Linked DNA regions of Oryza sativa Japonica Group. The protein of the gene in region 2 binds, or shares a complex with, the protein of the main gene of each other region. Links are inferred from orthologs where the notes say so. Each region holds a gene or a part of one and is shown on either strand. Other genes may lie near its edges. The genes, in order: nuclear pore complex protein NUP58 and nuclear-pore anchor.

Region 1 (9,519 bases), on a different chromosome or scaffold from region 2:
AGGAAAAGATATATTTGTAAGTTCAATTGGAAGTAGGATAAAAAGAAGAATATTGCTGGTGAATTTCAATATGGACGGTAACCATAGATGAGTAGAAACAGTGAAGGGCATGCACGGCAGGTGTGCCTGAGCTATATAACCCACTTGGAAAAATAATGGACAACTAAGTGTACTCTGCTGCCAATAACAAATTTCAGTTCAGACCAAAAACATAACAACAAATTTAGAGCTATGAATTGCCATGATGAAATCAAACTGTAGATGTGCCAACACTTCAGAAATGTTTATATACCATGACGAGATCATCTAAAATGAGAATTTCACAACATAAAAGTACCAAATTGTTTTCAGATAGCTACTGACTTATCATAAGCATATGACTATCTAACAGTTAGGAAATATAAATATAGTATGGTGAGAGTTTGTATACCTCCGAACGGCGTAGAAAACAGTGAGGTTCCACCTAAAGCGGGCGTTGAAGCAAAAGATGGAGTTGTATTCCCAAATCCAGATGGAGCCGGCGTTGATCCAAGCGTTGGAGTAGAGACTGTCCCAAATGGTGTGGACAGCTGGGCTGATCCAGATGTACCAAAAAGGTTGCTGGATAGAGTTGGAGTTGTTGGAGTTGAAAAGAGACTTGAAGAAGATGGAGCGGAAGCTGGAGTGCTGAATGATGGAAAAGCACTTGAAGAAGTCGCTCCAGAAGGAATCAATGATTGCTGTGGTTGACTCGTCACTGTTCCAGCAATTTGAGTTGTGGGCTGTACAGGAGCAGGCAAATGCAATGTTGGATGTACCCTTCTGGCAGCTGCTTCTTGTTTAGCCGCTTCTCGTCTATTTGCCTCTAAAAATGGATCATTGGCATTACCCAATCGCCGCTGCTCATGTAGATATTCAGTTTTCAATGACTCAACATATTGATGAAGATTTTCCACCTAAAAAAAATACAAACATTAGAAAATACTGGGTATCGCACCAAGGCAGTGCAGCAAGCCTAAAAGTAAGCAATCTCTCTTATTTTTTTCACGAGATACAGCTGTTACAAAAAAAATTTGGTTGACTTACAGATTTACATTTATTTTTATGACTATATTACATAATAAATGATTTATATCATGGGGGAGAACCTCAAAATAAATGCATTTTAACAGTTCAACTGCAGTGTGTGTATGAAAAAGGAGATTTACCTTAGAAGCAACATAGATGAAATAATCATGCACATTCGACATAACCTTCGGTAGAGATTCTAATGAGGCTGATTGCCTTTTATTGTTCTCCATTTGAACAAGCTGCTCTAGCTCCGCGATCCACTTGCAGCATTCTCCAAGATATTTCTCAAACCTGTTGATAGTCTGTTGCATAAAATGGGAAGGCCGCTTTGGGATACCACTATAGAAATCAATGGTTGGAGCCAATGCTACTGGCTGATTGGACTGAGCTCCAGCAGGACCAGAAGGATTTGAGCCACCACCATTTGCTCCAGCACCTGGACGGATAAATCTTGGTCTCAGCATCATATATGACCTAATAGCAAATTCTGTGTTTCGCATCATTTCATTCACAACAGTCATTAACTCTTGAACGGAAGCCTTCTCTCTTTCCATCATGGTGGTTGTCCCTCCAAGTTCCTGTTAGAGCAGGAAATATTTAGCCATAAATTAAAGGATTGGTATAAGGAATATGTAACAAAATTGTGATCATAAATACATTACATGGTTAGACAAAAACATTGTCTTGGACATTGACACAGTTCCCACACAGAACCTTAACAACTGATTCTATTTTAAAATATTTATAGAGTCCCGCAGAAATACAGTATTTTGGTTGAAACTTACCAAGAAAACTCTAGTATTCTACATATATGTTTTTTTTATTTTCCAATCTAAATATTGAAAAAGATTTTGATACTTAAAGTTCCACAAGTTTCTGACCAAAGTGGGTAGTAATTAGGAATGTTTTTTATGGATTCATGTGTTCGTATTTCATGAATCAGTAAATCCTAATAATTATCAACTAGTCAACTTATGAACTAAAAGAACCATGAATTACCACTAAATAAAAATGTGTGTTGTAGGAGATAGTTATGAACTTCATTCCCTCTCCAGTTTTAAGGTAAAACTATGTACCCTTCAGCACTGATGCGTTGATATGCTATCCAAATTGAAGCTAATTATGATTTTGTGGCTCAGGAACATTTCAAGATTTAAGGGTAGATATTGATTTTGAATTAACAATGCCTGTTAATGATCTGATTACACTTACTGCTGCACAATCAGGATGGTGAACCCAACCTTGCTACAAGGGATAAGCTGATTATTTTCTTTATCGAGTTTCATTAACAATATACTCCATTGTGCTAATTTGTTCATTGTTCAGGGCAAAACTAAAGCATTACAGAAAATAGAGGTTCTTGTCATCTTCGCAGCCCAAAGTTTATATTTACTTTCAGTTAATCCTTAAAAAGAAGAGGAAGCAGAGACATAGTTCTCCAATAGAGAGCTCAAGGTGATTGAGCATGATTTTATAGTTTCTAATTCGCTGGTCAGTAACTGATCAATTTTCCAATGGGTACAATATATGTTTCTTTGAAGACAATGCGTGTAGGCATCTCATTCTTTCTACTGTTGACTATGTGAAAAAATACTGAAATATCTCTTCTAGAAAGTGTTCTGCTATTTTTCTAAACTGTCAACTGACAAAATCCCATATCAGTTACGAAATAGGACCAACATAATCAGAGTCTTTTACCCCTATGCCATTAAAAAAGTTCCTGCTTACCTATGTGCCACAAAAAAGTTTGGAGTCACCTGTATGCCATGAGAAAAACTTTCGTTGACCCGTGTGCCATTCCGTCCACCTTCTGTTACAACTTAACGGTTTTGTAGTTCTGACATGTGGGACCATGTATGAAAATGACTAATTTGCCCCTGAAGGATTTTCAGCTCTATTCTCCTCTCCTGCTATCTCCCGTGGAGTGCCTGCTCTCTCCCCATTGCGCCGCACGCCGCCGCACCCTAACCCTAGCCGCACGCCGCCGCCGCCGCCTAGCAGAGCCGGACCCGTCGCCGCCGCCTGGCCTCGCCGGACCCGTCGCCGTGCGCCCAGGCCGGCGAGATCTCTCCAGCAAGCACCGGCCGCGAGGGCTGACGACTGATCTCTCCGGTGACCGGAGCGCGGCTACACCGTCACCACTTGTAGCATCGGGCTAGCTAGCGGCGGCGGGCGGCGGCGGCGCGCCGATGTGCACGAACGGGTGCGGGTTCTTCGGCAGCGAGGCGACCAAGAACCTCTGCTCCAAGTGCTACCGGGACCAACTCAAGGAGGCGGCGTCGTCAGCGGCGGTTGCCGCCGCGGCGCCTGACGTCGCGAACAAGGAGGAGGAGGCGAGCACGGCCGCCGCCGCCGCCGACGAGCAGCTAGCGCTGTGCGCGAGCAGCTGTGGGTTCTTCAGCAGCAAGGAGACCAAGAACATGTGCTCCAAGTGCTACCGCGACCACCTCAAGGCGACGTCGCCGGCCACCGCCACCGCCTCCACTCCCAACATCATCGTCCCCATGACTCCGGCCGCCACGGCGCCGACGTCGTCGCTCAAGGGGAAGGAGGAGGCAACCGCCGCCGCATCATCGTCGACGGCGCCGGCGAAGCCGAACAGGTGCGTGGCGTGCCGGAAGAAGGTGGGGCTGCAAGGGCAAAACTGTCTTTACACAGCCCCTAACACCTCTGTTATGTCTCCATTCATCCAAAATGGCACACGAGTCAACGAAAGTTGGGCTCATGGCATACACGTAACTCCAAACTTTTTTGTGGCACACAGGTAAGCAGCAACTTTCTTAATGGCATAGGGGTAAAAGACTCACATAATCAAGCGTCTCATGTACGACTGACAAAAGCAAGAAAAGCAAGTCCAACCTGAGCAATTTCACTTGCATCATTCTCAAAATTGACAGTTGAGATTGAAGAGTCATGAAGGCGAGAACACTGATCCAACCTCTCGCTCTCGTCCCTGTACTCCCTTATTTTATCCCTACAAAATTCAAAGTGAAAAATTACACCAATAGCATGCCAAGTCCCAAACAGGTAACAAAAACAGAGAAACTGAACTCTCTAACCCTAAAACCCATGTATTGACCACATCAATGCAAAATGAGGCAGTAGCTTAAGTAATCCGTAGCAAATGGCATAGATCATAGAGCACAAAACGTGTTTCCCCTTCCCCTGAAACCCAAGTAAACAATGATCTGCTAAACCATCAGAAACAGTAGCCCTCCATAGTATATATTGCTAGAAGAACATATTTGTTTAAAGCAAACTGATCTCTGAGAGACTGTAAAGGCACAAGCTTATCGCATAAAGCGTTAAATCTAAACCACAGACAGAAAAAAGAAACTACTTTTCCACCTTATCACCAACCCAGCAGCAGCAAATTCCACTAGGGCCTAAGCTGACTAGTATACCCATATAACAAAAAAATAATAATAGCATACCAACAAGGATTGCGTTTACCAAGTCAGATGGAGCAATTTTAGTTGACTACAGATCAAGAAAAAAATTGCAGTGCAAAGACGCTTAAACACTAAGTTCAATCACGAACAAGCACTCTCATTTGCCACAAAATAGGGGAAACCGGGGAGGGAAACCATACTCGATCTGGAGCAGCGCCTTCTGCGACTCGGCGTGAAGCTCCTCCCACTTCGTGTTGTACCCCGCGGGCTTCCCGTCCGTCGTATATAGCATCAGCTGCTGCTGCTGCGGTTGCGCGGCCGGCGCCGCCTGTTGCTGTGGCGGCGGCTGCTGCTGCTGCTGCTGCGGCTGCTGCAGGTTGAACTGAAACGGCGAAGGAGACAGGGACGGGGCCTGCGCCGGCGTCTGGAACGGATTCTGCGGCGCCGGTGAGGCGAAGGAGAACGCCATTGCAGCGCGGCGCGCAGGGGGGCTTGTCCCCGGCGGAGGCGGCGGGAGGTCGCCGGTGGGATCGAGGGGGGCTAGTGGGCTCTGGGCCGGACACGGTGGGCTCGAAGAGTTATTAAACCCTAAAAAACCGAAAAGGTTTGAGAGGGCAGTGTTAAGATGACGGCTTTACCCCTGGAGGCAAAACGGGTCGGAAGAATTTCAAAATTGAATTTCACGTTTGTCCTTTCCATTGTTTTCTTACTAAGGAAATTTCTACATACTGTAAGTTTTTGCCGTTTTATTTTGCAAGGAACATTACATTTTAGATATTTTTTACCAATGCATACTCTGACTTTATAGGTTTACATGTAGTTGGCGCAGCAAAAGCCAGTCACTTGAAATGTGGTTAAGTGAGGTAAAGTCCTTATCACACATTGTCAGCTTTTGCTCCACGCGATGGTAAGATGGTCCACGCAGTGGTAGAGCTAGATTCGGACCTCCCTACCGAGATCATGCGTCATTTCCCAAAGGTGCTCAATGTGTGCCATGGCATGCTCCTACACCTGTTTGCCACCGCTTGTCTCATCGAGCGTACTGAGCCATTACACTTCGTTGGGTGAGCAATGATATCATCCTGACTACAACTAAACATGCTTGACCCAACATTTATTTTAGCGTTACGCTCACCTCGCAAAGACGGGTACCAAGAGTATACTCCAATAACATTTCACTTGGCCTAATTGGAATAACTCAAGGGTATTTCAAACCTTCACGCGTCTCCTCACTCCTCACCATGCCAATATAATAAAATATTGGTAACGGTGTGTAGTGGCAAAAACGCTGCAATTTATAAGTGTATTTCTCCAAAGATCCAATTCTACAAAAATCTCTACAGCTAAAACCATGAAGCTAAAACGCAATACCCAAACAACAAATTTTGCTTAAATTTCACTTTGGAAAGGTTGGAATCAAAGCTCCTTTGTACTCACCTTTTTCTATTTCAAATTATCCAAAACAACAAAAACGTAGCTCGAAACATTTAAAAATCATGGTGACAATTATGCTACAAATCCTTAATATACCACCAGCAATACCTTTTCACAAGGAAAAATTATACTCTGATTACCATTATGAATGTCCTCAAAAAAAAAGATTACCATTATGGAAAAAAAAACGAAGGTTTGGTCACGGATCCACATTGAAGACGTCAAAAGAGTATCTGGAGGACCATATTGATACTCATAACTAATATAAATTGAGATGCGTAGAAGTTCAATTTATCACAGATTAACTGAAGAATGAAAACCAGAAGACAAAAACGAAGCTCTAAGTTCCATCTGATGAAATCTCGCAGTAACTGATGTTAGATAGATCTCCCTCCCCTTGAGCCCAACGGCTCAAGAGGGCCTTGACCGCGCCCTGATCGGGGGGCGCCCAGCCCAATGGCTGGTGGGCCCCCGTCACACTGCGCCATATAAAAGAGGGGTGGAGGCCGGCACGGCACAAGGTACGAAGTTCACCGCCGCCGCCAACTCCACCCCACAAAACCCTAATCCGATCGAGAGGGGGCGCAGCCAGTGACGGGAAACGCCACCGCCGCGCCACGCCTCATCGCCGGGACGTCTACGACCACCACTGCCGCAGCCGTCATCGCCGTCGACCTCACCGGCGTCGCATCCACGTCAAGCCGCGACGACAACGACGATGTCCGGCGCCTCTTCCTCCACGAACTCCTCAACCGGTCGGTCTATCTAAACCCTCTCCCGTTTTCAATCTCTATAGTTCAAACATCAATCCCAAATAGAACCACCCGACTAGATCTAACCTAGGTGATCCTAGAGCAAAGTCTAACAACTGAATTTCCAATACGCAGTGCTGTCACAACCTGCAGCAGATTTCCAACCTGTGCTTTGTTACAGCCTTCATATCAGCAGGGACATATGGTCATTCAAGTAGTGTCCAACTGTTCCATCCACTTCATGACGCTAAATTCACCTGACCCACAAGGTCATAGCTATCACTTGGGCAGTCATAAGATGCAGATTTTAAGAACAGAAGGATAAAACAATAGTGTGGTGCAAGCAGCCAGATAACTAGATAAGGTATATTTTGGTCCGCTTCTGTTATGGTGCAATTGCCTTAATGCTCCAAGCCAAGTGTGCAAGAGCTTTGTTCCCCCTAGCAACCAGTTATATCAAATCAGCTTTCATATATGACATAGCATAAGTAAATTTTGGTAGTACTATTAACTTGACATGGAAACGAGCATGAGCAGGTGAGGGCATGAGGCATCATCTAGCACATGAGATATTAAATATCAATTCCATGATTGAAAAACGAAGGTAAAAAAACATCAATTTCATTGTGTAGATAAGCAACTGAGAATTGAAAATGATCCAATGGTAGCAGCATAACAAAGATAAATTTTACCAACAAGGAATCATGGGCAGCACTTGGTAGCAGATACCATGCGTTGTGGACTTGTTGGACGTCAGAACTGCCCTCGTGATAGCAGATCAGATCATCAGACCATATTTTAGCCAGGCCGGCCTAAGATAGGCGGACCAAATTTACTTAAGAAAAGGGGTATTTACACATATACAAGTTTCAGACTTCGACAAGAGGCTGTCGAAGTGAAAGGATGTTGCCATCGCAGCAACTTCCTAAAAGAAAAACAAGTTACAGAAGGTTGTTACTCTCCTAAAACATTGAAAACCCCAGCTTCTTTCTAGATTGCCGCTTCATCTTTAATTGCGCCAAACAGGAACCCCGCTGTTCGGCTCTGAGCGTTTCTTTCCTTCCAAATCATCCAACAGACCAGCAGCACTAAAGTGTCAAATGCGCTCCTCTGGCTGGTTTGAAAGACCTGCCACCACTCCAACCACCAATCTCCAAGGTCCAATCCGAGCTCTGCCGGCAGCTGGAACCCGGCACCGATCCAACCCTTGATCTTTCTCCAGACATTTGAAGTGTAAGGACAGGAGACAAAGAGGTGCTCGCAATCTTCGTCATTGCTCATGCAGAGGGGGCAGGATTGTTGGTGTGGCCATCCTCGCTTGGTGAGATTGTCGGCCGTGAGACACCTCCCTCTCGGCCAACCACATAAAAAATTTCACTTTGGAAGGTTCTCTAGTGTGCCAAATCAGACTGCCACATCTCGCTTCTGTATTTGCCATGAAGAACAGTTCGTAAGCCGAAGCAGGGGTGAACTTCCCATTTGCAGCCCTCTTCCAAACAGTCACATCCTCCTCTCCCCCTTGCACCTGCACCTCCTGGACTGCATCCCAAATCTGAAAATACTCCCCGATGGCTCGATTAGATGGCGCACCTTTGATGTCACACACCCACCTGTGGTTCCTCAACCCCTGAGCCACTGTCAAGCCGGTGCGTTCCACATGGCTGAAAATCAACTGGAACCTCGATTTTATGCTTCCCATTGGCAACCAGTCCGCAAGCCGAAACTTCGTGTTTTTTCCATCTCCTACCTCTTGCCGTGATGCTGAGTAGTAGAGGTCTCTCAGATCTTTCGGCTCCACAGTCGCAACTGTTGTCCAAGGCCGGTCTTGCTGCTCACCCTTCTTAGCCAATCACTTGAGCCGAAGCGCTTTGCCAAAGAAGTCCAGGCTTTTTATACCCAACCCTCCCTTTTCAAACGGCATACAAACCGCTTTCCAAGCCACCAAACAATGTCCGCCACTCACCTCCTCCTGCCCCTTCCACAGGAACCCCCGACACTTTCTATTAATCTCTTTGATCGAACACTGTGGCAGCTCAAGCACCGAGAGGTAGTGCACCGGCAAGGCAAACAGGACAGACTTGATCAGAGTCAGACGATCTCCAGTAGACAGGAATTTTGGCTTCCAAATCATCAGACCATATAACTGAGACTGATGAATTGTGAGCGTGCAACTATCTCATAAACTGTAGGGATATGCACATATGATTTTCCCCCAGGACATTCTGAGAAAAAAAAAAGTACGAAATAGAAGTGTGGTACCTCAGATAATCTCCAATCAGTTGATTCCAGACTATTGCTGAAAAGAGAGGCCTGACATTGTAACATGTGCTCCCCATCTTTGGGCAATGAGTTTAAATTCAAAGAGATAAACAAGATGTTCATGTATCATGAATCATTTTAATTAGGAAAGCAGTCTCCAATGCTAATTCCTTGGTTTGCAAATACTTGCTCTCTTCTACAACATCTGTTGTCAAGTTGAGAATTACAGGCCGCTCTGGATCATAGCGAGTAACTTCTCGGACTTTTGCGACCCATTTAGCTGCTTCCCATACACCAAACCTACCATTTTCAACCACAAAACATATTCATGTCCAGGACAACAGAACTACAGAAGCAAACTTGCAATAGCCATTAGCCAGTTATCTTTTCTATTTATCTAGTCTAAGGTTATGTTGTAAATATTACAAGCTTCAATGCTACTCCCTCCGTTTCACAATGTAAGCCATTCTAACATTTCCCACATTCATATTGTTGTTAATGAATCTAGACATATATATCTATATAGATTCATTAGCATCAATATGAATATGAGAAATGCTAGAATGACTTACATTGTGAAACGGAGGAAGTAGAAGGTAGTAAGTCATACATAAAATAAAAAAATATCAAGT
Region 2 (9,419 bases):
ACAAAGTATCTGCTTTCTGTTTTGAAATGGAATACCCATTTCTCTTTAAAGAATAAAATGAAACACCCATTCTTCTAGCACCTGCAGCACATATCGAAGAATATTGTTAAAACCACGGGAACAGCTTAAGACACCCCCATTTTTGGCATTTATGATCTTTTCCAATCCTTTTCTACACAGCGATCTTTGGTTATATACTCTTTTTAGCGTTAACAAAACACAAATTTTGATTTGAGAGGAATCCTGATTTTCCACAAAATATTGTGTGCAAATTCCACTACTATCAATTCCAACCACAATTTCGGAATTACTGGGATTAGTTTGGCATAGGAACCAGAATTGATTGGTTTGATTACTATAATGCTTAATTGATTATGGGATGGGTGTCGAATTTATGGACTTCTACATGCACATTTTGAGGGGTATGTATTTTATACCTACCTATTGAGAACATACATATGAATATTTTTTAATGATACAAATAAAATTTAATAAGGCACTTGTCTACATGGTGCTTTACACTAGGGTTTCATGGGCTTATTTTTTGTTTTTTTTAACATGCTTGATAACTATTTTCATAACAGTTGCCTGTTTCGACTTTCGAGCCTTAATATAAACACTGCCTTACAAAATCAGTATATCACTACAGTAACTGATTGTACTAGTATATGCTTAATTCGTTGGCAAGATAATGCTGGATTAATCTTGTTTTTCTGGTCTAAAAGATGTTCAGCATATTTAAACCATAATCTAGAATGGTTACTGGTTGTAGTTGGTTGCCATTCATATTTTTTGTTTGCTTCCATTGCATGTCCTTCCGTTCTGTATATAAACACGGGTGGTCGTTAGTTGCCATTCGTGAAGATCACATGAATATACATTCTTGCTATTTTCTGTACTTGATGACAGTGGGTTACCATGAATCACATATTTTCTTCAAATGCTGAATGCAGAATAAAATTCTACACAATCAACTAGAAGCTTTGCACATTAGATTAGCTGAAAAAGAACGCAATATTGCTGGTCTTTCATCGCAACGCATTGATTCACATGGTGAAGATGATTTGCATAGCGTCATTGGCTACCTGCGCAGATCGAAAGAAATAGTGAGTATAAGATTCAGTGTCCTCTTCTTCTTTATTATTCCTCTACTTGGAATGGGATGTTATTTATGTAGTCTGATGGTAATTTCACTATTTCAGGCAGAAACCGAGATATCTTTGCTTAAACAGGAGAAGTCACGGCTTCAGATAGAAGTATGATCTGCTTGCTCTTGCATATTGTTATTTGTTCAAATACCCATAATTGTGCCACGTCAACTACTGTACTCCTCCATCCACAAAAGTTACACATTTTACTTTTGTCACCAAGACCATGAAGAAATTAAATTATCTTGGATGCTACAACATCAAGGAGTGAATGCAAGCATGCAACCAATGAGTATTTAGATGACTACTTGGGTTCTCATCAAACATTTAATTTATCTCTTCATTTAAGTCTTAAATACATAAAGATTACAAATAGGTACAACTTATTTGGAAAAACTCAAATGTGAAATATGTCTAACTTTTGTGGATGGAGTAAAACAGAACTCTACCTATGCTTACTTGAATTGTATGTAATTATAAAGGAACTGTTCTGTTTCTTTTGTTTTATGTAGTATGGTGACTGCGAATATTGAACTGCCACCTGCCAGACTTTGTTGTTTTGTCATTTTGTTCCATGCTCCCATTTAATCTGCCCATAGGACAATTCCATGAAGTTTCCACTGTTTGACCCATCATATTTGGCATTTGGTATCATCATGGAACCAATCCATATGGCCTTGTCTCCTTTGTGTGATTGCTTGCCAAGCTTGTCTCATTTAACTTGATCCTATGGCTCCACTCTGGTCTTGTATGAACATGTCATGTGCCTCTGTACTTTCAACACATAACTGAAAGTTATGCATTATTGTTCAATCTGTTTGTCTTGCATGATTTGAGAACTTGTTTTCACTCCTCATTTTGACTATATGATTTCCTATTATGTGTTTTTGTCTGATGTAGTTTTATCTGTGTGCCTTCCATGATATTAGAACCGTTTCCGTGCTTGATTTTGTGGGGGCAGCTTAAGGTGTTTCTAATCTGCTATAATTTTTTTCATGCTTATATAGTTGGAAAGTGCATTGAAGTCCACAAAGGAGGCACAGGACTTGCTCCGCAGTCAAACTGATAGTGCAAGAACATCAATGCTCAAGGATGAAGAATTCAAGTCACTGCAATTCCAGGTGCCATTCTTGTCGACTCCCTCCTCAAAATATCGCTATTTCTAGTGCTTAAATTTTGTCCCAGAATATAGCTATTTCTATAGTCCTACTTTCCCCACCAAACACTCGTCTGCTTTTCACTCACCTCCATTCCTCCAACTATCCCTCATTTATTTATTTATTTATTTATTTATTTTTTGGGGGGGGGGGCATCATAGTCTTTTCCGTTGATCGTTAAATCTCTCCAAAAAAGCCACAAGTTATATTTTAGGGCGGAGAGTGTATTGGGTATCTGTCATGACTGCTCCCTTTCTCTTGATTTTACTGTTGCTCTCTTATTCCTTTTTTGTAGCTTGTTTTCTTTTGTATTAAAAATGCTTTACCTCAGGTGAGAGAGCTTAATTTGCTTCGTGAAAGCAATATACAGCTTAGAGAGGAGAACAAGCATAATTTCGAAGAATGCCAGGTAAGTTTATTGATGTTGTCTTGTTTATTTCTTTTATGGTGCATGTTTTGATGTGCTTCATTGTTCTTTTTTTTTCTCTCCTGGGTTCAGAAATTCCATGATGAGGCTCAAAAGGCTAAAATGGAAGCTGAAAGGTTGCATAATCTTTTACTGGAAAAGCAGGTAGATGCTGAAATATGTAAAAAAGAAATAGAGATGCAGAAGACCGAAATAGCTAATCTAAATCAAAAGATTTCCGAGGTATGTTATTTACCCATTATCATTATGCAACGCATCATGAATATAATTGGTTTATTTATATGCGGTTAGCATTTCCTTAAGGTAGCTGACATTTGATACATGACCTTTTCTAATAAATAATAAATAAGAATTAAAATATAGCACTGTAGCAGCTAATGTTGTACTAGTACATTAGATAGAGACCATGCCAGGTCAAAAAATATTTTCTTGAACTGGAGGAAGCAAACCCTCAAATGCTGATGCTAGTTTTTTTTAGGAAACTTACATCTAAGCTAGGCAGCGCTTGTGTGGAAATGTGCGTTTGTGTACATCTGACTTGATATTCTTGGTGCTACTTGTGTCTTCACTTTCTGTCATTGGTTTTGTTATGAATGGAGGGACTTTAGGATTAGTTGCCCAGTGCATGTGCACAGAAAAGGGTGTCTGAACAGCAGACCGGTGTGCCGGTGTGTACATCGAGCAGGGGTTCTTGCATTGTGTATAAATTCAGTTTATGTTTTACCTCTTCATCAGTTAGTCTTGAATAGAATTTGTCTAGTGTTTCCCAAAGTTCTAACATTATTATTAACATTGTTATAAGCTTGCTATTATCATTGTTCTATCAGGTATTTTGTTTTGACTCTTATGTCAACTTTATTCTTCTGCAGTTGGTTGAAAATAGTAGAGGCGTTGATTTGAGCACATATGAGACCATGAAGGATGAACTTCAAAACATAAAAGTTAGTGGTTTTTTTTATTATTTTTATCTTTTCAAATCATTTTGATAAGTATTTTTAGTTATTATGTTATACTTATTCTTTTGGTGATTGAATTTGGTCTGAACATATTTTTTGTTCTATAAATTGTACTCTGATCCAAGATATAAGAACTTCTGGTATTCTTGGGGATTAAGGAAAGAGGTGAAATTGAATTGGGGATGGTTGCGATTAGTTGAGATGAGGAAACAAGTAGAGAAATTAGATGAGAAATGGTTGTGATTAGTTGGGATGGGGGAGTAGGTGAAGTTGCTATATTTTGGGACATTGAGAGTACTGATAAAATAATACTACATTTGTTCTTTTGTATGCTGGTTTGACTAGAGATCAACTGTTTAATGAAGCATTCGGTTCTGAACCTAGTTCAAGCTTGGAATCAGATAGCTACGGTAAAGAATAGGGAAAATGACCATTGGTGAGACAATTAGAGGGAGGGGACAGACAATATAGTCTGGAATAAGAACTTTTGAAGCGAAACATACTTTCTAATTATTATCGGCTATCGCTGGTATTGGACTTGTTATGCCCTTTCATGCGCATATGCTGCTCGTTTTCTAATTATTGATGGCAGTTGAGTTAGTTTCCCACTTTTCTCAACTTCTAATCGCTCGTTTTCCACACGCACACTTTTCAAACTGCTAAACAGTGTGTTTTTGAAAAAAAAACATATATATCGATTTTCAACTTTTTTTTTAAATAATACTTAATTAATCATGCTCTAATGAGTAGCCCAGTTTTCCATGCAGGAGGGATAAGTTCTCAACCTGTATTAACGAACACAGCCTTAGTGATATATAACACTGATACTGATGTACATCCCTTAATTAGCATGGATGGCTGGCTTAAATTTCATTATTTGGTCAATACGACTGAACTTAATGAGTTTGTAAGGTTGAGTTTTGTGATAAACGATTATCACATGTATTTCTTAAATACAACAGGCAACCTTGAGAGAGAATTCGGCAGAGCTAGAGCGCACAAAAAAACTTCTTTCTGAGAAGGATTCTGTAATAAGAAATTTGGAGGAAAAGCTTGCTGGATGTCAGTCTGAATTGGATGCTAGGGAAAAGAAGCTGAATGATGTTGAGGTCTGATATAATTTCCAGTAACATTCTCCTGGCCATTTTTACTTTAGTTGTATTAGTAATGCCTTTCCTTTTGCAGGCTAGCCTTAAATCTGAAATTGACAGACATAGGAAGATTAATATCAACATAAAGGTTAGGATCTTTCCCTTGTTCTTCTATTGCAAGATCGAAAGTTCATTGCTGTTTTCATGTGCTTATATCATCCTATTAAATAATGTAGAGGAAGCTTGATGCATCAGCAAAAGAGAAGGAGGAACTGACGAAAGAAAAACAAAGCCTTTCAAAGCAATTGGAAGATCTCAAATCAAGTACTTAATTAATCTTATTACTTTCACACAACCACCTGAATTATATATTTTGTATGATCACTCATGTTTTAAATTTGATATACTTTAGCAGGTCAGAAAACTACAACAGAAAATTCAAATGAACAGGCCATCAAAGAAAAGGACTTCAGGATACAGGTCAGGAGGTTGTGATTTTTATGAACATGAACTCCTTCAGGTTTCTTACATAAACATATATTAACAGACATTGGAAAAAGTCTTGGAGAAAGAGAGAGATGATAATAAGAAAGAAAAAGCATTCCGCAGAAGGAATGAGAAAGTATTTACTACCGCCATTCAAAATATGAATCAGGTATTTCTTCCTCAACTAGCCTGAGTACAGTCTTGTCTTAAAAATTTTTTTGTTTATCGTCAGTTGGGTTTAGATTGAGCACCAAATTTATCATGGAACTACTGATTTAATACAGATTGTCACAAAGCTACACATTAAGTAGCAAATTTGTCACAAAGCTACTGGTTTATTGCCAATTTAATCCCAAAACTACAACGTCTATATCTTCAACATAACTGTAGTGCTAGGGATTGAAAATCTAAAATCTGTAGTTTTTTTATAACTTGAGCAATAAATCTGTAGTTTTGTGATACTTCTCCCTAAATCTGTACCTGATAGCTTTGGGGGAGTGGATTCTAATCCCTTGAGGGGATGTCCCGTCGTGTACCTTTTTCTTTCAAATTCGATACAAATAGTTGTAAAAATTTATGAAAAAAATTCGACCTACTATTTATATCTCTCGACGTGTGCGTTGCGTTTGGACCTAAGATTTTATGGAGTTGTATACTTATGTTGTATGAGTGTTGTCGATCTTTTCCAGAATTTTTCATAACCATTTGGATGGTTTTTAAGCAAACAAGGGGACATCCCTCGAGGGATCAAAATAGTTTCCCTAGTTTTGGCACTAAATGTATAGTTTTGTGATTTGTCTTAAATCCGTAGTTTGTGAAATTTTCTCCTTTTTTTTAACCGATGCAGTAGATTTTCTAATAAGAAAAGCCAAGGAAGTAGACATTAAGATAATGAAAGATTGATATGTTGACATGTTCACAGATGAACTTAGAAAAATGAAAAACTTAATGTGTTCTGGGATATACAAGATGAAACTTTTAAGTAGGATGTTTTAGTGTATTCTAGAGTTGGAAAGTTGGCATCATTATGAATGTTCTAAAGAATAAGTGCCATTTTAAACCTTACCAAAAAATTGGCAAGCCAAATTTTGGTAAAGTTTGAGTGTTTGGTTTATAACCAAGTTTTTGTCAATGTTGCTTGTGATGTATTGATTGTTTTTGCCAAAATATTGGCAACACAAAATCTATGGCAACAAACCAAACACACACATTTTCTTGCCCTTGCCAATTTTTTTGTATAGTTTGTTTGGGCTATAAACCAAATGCTAAGTGTTCATGTCCATTGCCAAACCAACCCTGAGTATTAAGCCTATCATTATGATCTACACTTTTCGTTACATTTTCTTCTATTGAATGATTTCTTAGAATATGAAATTTCACTGTTTAAAGCTTGCAAATGTAGCATCATTTGAGTTTGCTAATGGTTAATGTTTAGCATGATCACAGGCAATTATAGTACACTATAGTAAATTATTGTCTGGGGTTTGCTTATTGGCTTTTCAGGCCATGTCCCATTCCTGTGATAGCCCTTAATGATCAGTTAGCATGCATTGCAGCTTGCTCCAACCTGTTTCCTTAGTATTTACTCGTATTTGTTACCTAATGATACATGATGTGTACCTATTAAAAATGCAACATAACAACTTCATAGTTGCTTGTTTCTCCAATAATTAATCTGTCCTGCCTGGTTAGTGTGTGGTATATGCGCACCCTCTAATCCACTTGTTGCTTTCGAAAATTAATTGCAGGAAAGGAAACAAGTAGAGGAATCAATTGAGAAGCATAGGCAGGCTGTGAAAGAGGTGATTGAGGTACAGTTTATCTGCTCCCATAGATTTCATGTTTCATTATTGCTGCTGCAAATGAAAGTTCCTAGTATATTTTATTTAGAGCTTTGCTACAGCTGATGTGCGTTCTCTGCAGCATTATACTGGAATATCCTCTCAAATCCCATCTGGATCTGCAATCGATGAGCAGCTGCGTTCATATTTCCTTGCCATCAAAGCTGTTGAGGAGTCTCCGAGTCCCTTCCAAGATGGTGCAGCAAGCCAGACACCATCTGTTGAAAGTGCCGATGTGGATGCATCTGCAGCTACTGCAGGTTCCTTTCTGTTCAATTTTTCATTCCACGCTGCTAGTGTATATTTAATGATCTCTATTAGTTAATCATAGTATCTGTTAATGACATGTGATACTTACTAGTTCAGAAATTATATTAGATCTGATCTATTACATGTACTCTTGAACTCGATGTGAATTTGGTTTTGAATGATTTGGCATGTCAGATATTGTTCGGACTTCGGAATGTGATATGATATTGGATTTCTAATGCATCATTTTCTTGCATTGGTTCCATCGCGTGGATCTGAATAATGTGTTTTTCCTTTGCTTTACCGTCACTTGATCAATATGGTAGTTCATAAGGCTGCTGCTTTTTTTTTTTTCTAATCTCAGGGAGACAGGTAGCTACTCCACCAAGGCCTGCTCAAGTTAAAGTGGTGGAGGAGAGAGCAGTTTCTACTTTGCCCAAACCAAGCACTGAAGTACGTAGACCAGGAGGAAGGAGACCACTTGTTCGACCTTCACTTGAACGAGTTGAAGAACCCCAAGCTGATATTGATACAACAGTAGTTGAAGGTTCCACAGAGAAAGGCGGCTTGTTGATGGAGCGTGAAACTCCTGGTGGTGTATCTGCGTTACAGCCATCAAGTCGTAAACGTCTAATTCCATCACCACAAACGAGAGATGATGCTTCACAAGGAGAGACAACGGATGCCAATCCACCACTGAAGAAACCCAAAGAAGGATCTTCACAATGTACTAGTGAGCTAAAAACTGAACAGTCACCTCATGAAGATGTCATGGCACCTGTTCCTGTGCTACCATCTACAGAGTTAGATGAGCAACAGCCTGGAGAAGAGATGGACACCGATCAGTCTTCCTTGCCAGTTGAAGAGGTTGAGGAAACAAGGGAGGATGACTTGGGTGATAAGGATGACATGGAAACACATATAGACGCTTCAATGGACATCCAAGGACAAGATGCAGAAACTGGTATTGATAATGATGCAACTACTGTGGAAGATGTGCCAGTCAAGTCAGAAGCGGTTATGGAATCACTGGAGGAAGACCTGAAAACTGAGGATGGGAAGGAAGAGGGTCAGTTTACTGCAACCACTGATGTTGAAGATGAGAGGGAGGAGGGAGAGTTGCCAGATGAACCAGAACAACCAGACAGCACTCCCCCTGTGCTGGATGTTGGTGAGCAAGCCGGTGATTCTTTCAGGGCGGCATCTCCAGCAGGACCAACTGAAAAGAGTGATGTTGACATGCCAGAAGAAACTGGAGAAGGTGATGGTACCATGGAATCAGACCAAAGCCCTGTACCACAATCTGGTGGAGCAGATGCGTCACCGAGCCAAATGGCTGATGCGTCACCAAGCCCTGCACGTGAACCTTCTCCTAACCCAGTCCAAGCTGGTGCACCTCCTGAACAGCAGAATCCCACCCCTCCTAACCCAGTCCAAGCTGGTGCATCTTCTGAACAGCAGAATCCCGCCACTGCAGCAGAAGGTGTTGAAACTCGTAGTACCAGAACAATCAACCTAACTGAGAGAGCGAGGCAAAACCGGCAAGCCAGGATTCTTCGCTCAGCCACTCAACAGAATGCAAGGGGCCGTGGCAACCAGTCTCTTACATACAGGGTATGGTTTTATACTACAAGACTACTGAGTTTATTTCTGTTGTGTTCTATTTTTGTTATATCCAGTGTTAATTCTGATGGAGAACAATGTTTTCTATGTGCAGAAAGATGGCGGCCGAGGAACACGGGGTCGTGGTGGGCGTGGTCAGTCGTAGAGAATTTAGGTTTGTCTTTGCTCAAGCGCGGAGACTAGTTTTTTGCAAAGGACATACTGAATCAGGGCGGCATCATATTCATTTTGTAGCACTATCAGAATTGCGAGCGTACATGTTACTCTGCTTAGACAAATTCATGTGGCTAAGCAGCGCTTATTAAAATGTTCTCATTGCCCGTGCGGATTGCCAGATGACCTATATTTAAATTGAACTCTAGTTGACAAAGATGATATAAGCATTCGTAGCGCGTAAGCTGATTTTTATTTTTCTTTTTGATTCGCTGCGTAAGTTGATAC

The links.
Region 1: nuclear-pore anchor (region 2) and nuclear pore complex protein NUP58 share a complex: the UniProt entries of both Arabidopsis thaliana proteins name them as parts of the nuclear pore complex. The link is inferred for Oryza sativa Japonica Group from reciprocal best matches to the Arabidopsis thaliana genes NUA and AT4G37130.

The regions. Positions count from the first base shown.
Region 1 is NC_089043.1:21,390,069-21,399,587, forward strand, and holds the start of nuclear pore complex protein NUP58, read right to left. Parts: upstream 4,995-9,519; 5' UTR 4,912-4,994; coding exon 4,643-4,911; intron 4,025-4,642; coding exon 3,910-4,024; intron 3,835-3,909; coding exon of another isoform or gene 3,815-3,834; intron 3,697-3,814; coding exon of another isoform or gene 3,240-3,696; exon of another isoform or gene 2,810-3,239; intron 1,629-2,809; coding exon 1,188-1,628; intron 936-1,187; coding exon 431-935; intron 1-430. Other genes in the region: zinc finger A20 and AN1 domain-containing stress-associated protein 12-like, read left to right, coding at 3,240-3,696, 3,815-3,834; uncharacterized protein, read right to left, coding at 9,007-9,187. UniProt on the Arabidopsis thaliana protein: Involved in nucleocytoplasmic trafficking. May have regulatory roles in the gibberellin pathway, in auxin signaling and in light perception.
Region 2 is NC_089036.1:31,504,272-31,513,690, reverse strand, and holds the end of nuclear-pore anchor, read left to right. Parts: intron 1-953; coding exon 954-1,106; intron 1,107-1,202; coding exon 1,203-1,256; intron 1,257-2,155; coding exon 2,156-2,269; intron 2,270-2,636; coding exon 2,637-2,714; intron 2,715-2,804; coding exon 2,805-2,954; intron 2,955-3,601; coding exon 3,602-3,673; intron 3,674-4,650; coding exon 4,651-4,797; intron 4,798-4,873; coding exon 4,874-4,927; intron 4,928-5,015; coding exon 5,016-5,103; intron 5,104-5,191; coding exon 5,192-5,259; intron 5,260-5,326; coding exon 5,327-5,434; intron 5,435-7,013; coding exon 7,014-7,076; intron 7,077-7,188; coding exon 7,189-7,366; intron 7,367-7,719; coding exon 7,720-8,969; intron 8,970-9,072; coding exon 9,073-9,123; 3' UTR 9,124-9,348; downstream 9,349-9,419. UniProt on the Arabidopsis thaliana protein: Component of the nuclear pore complex. Acts as a docking site for activities required for desumoylation and mRNA export. Required for the proper expression or localization of a subset of miRNAs.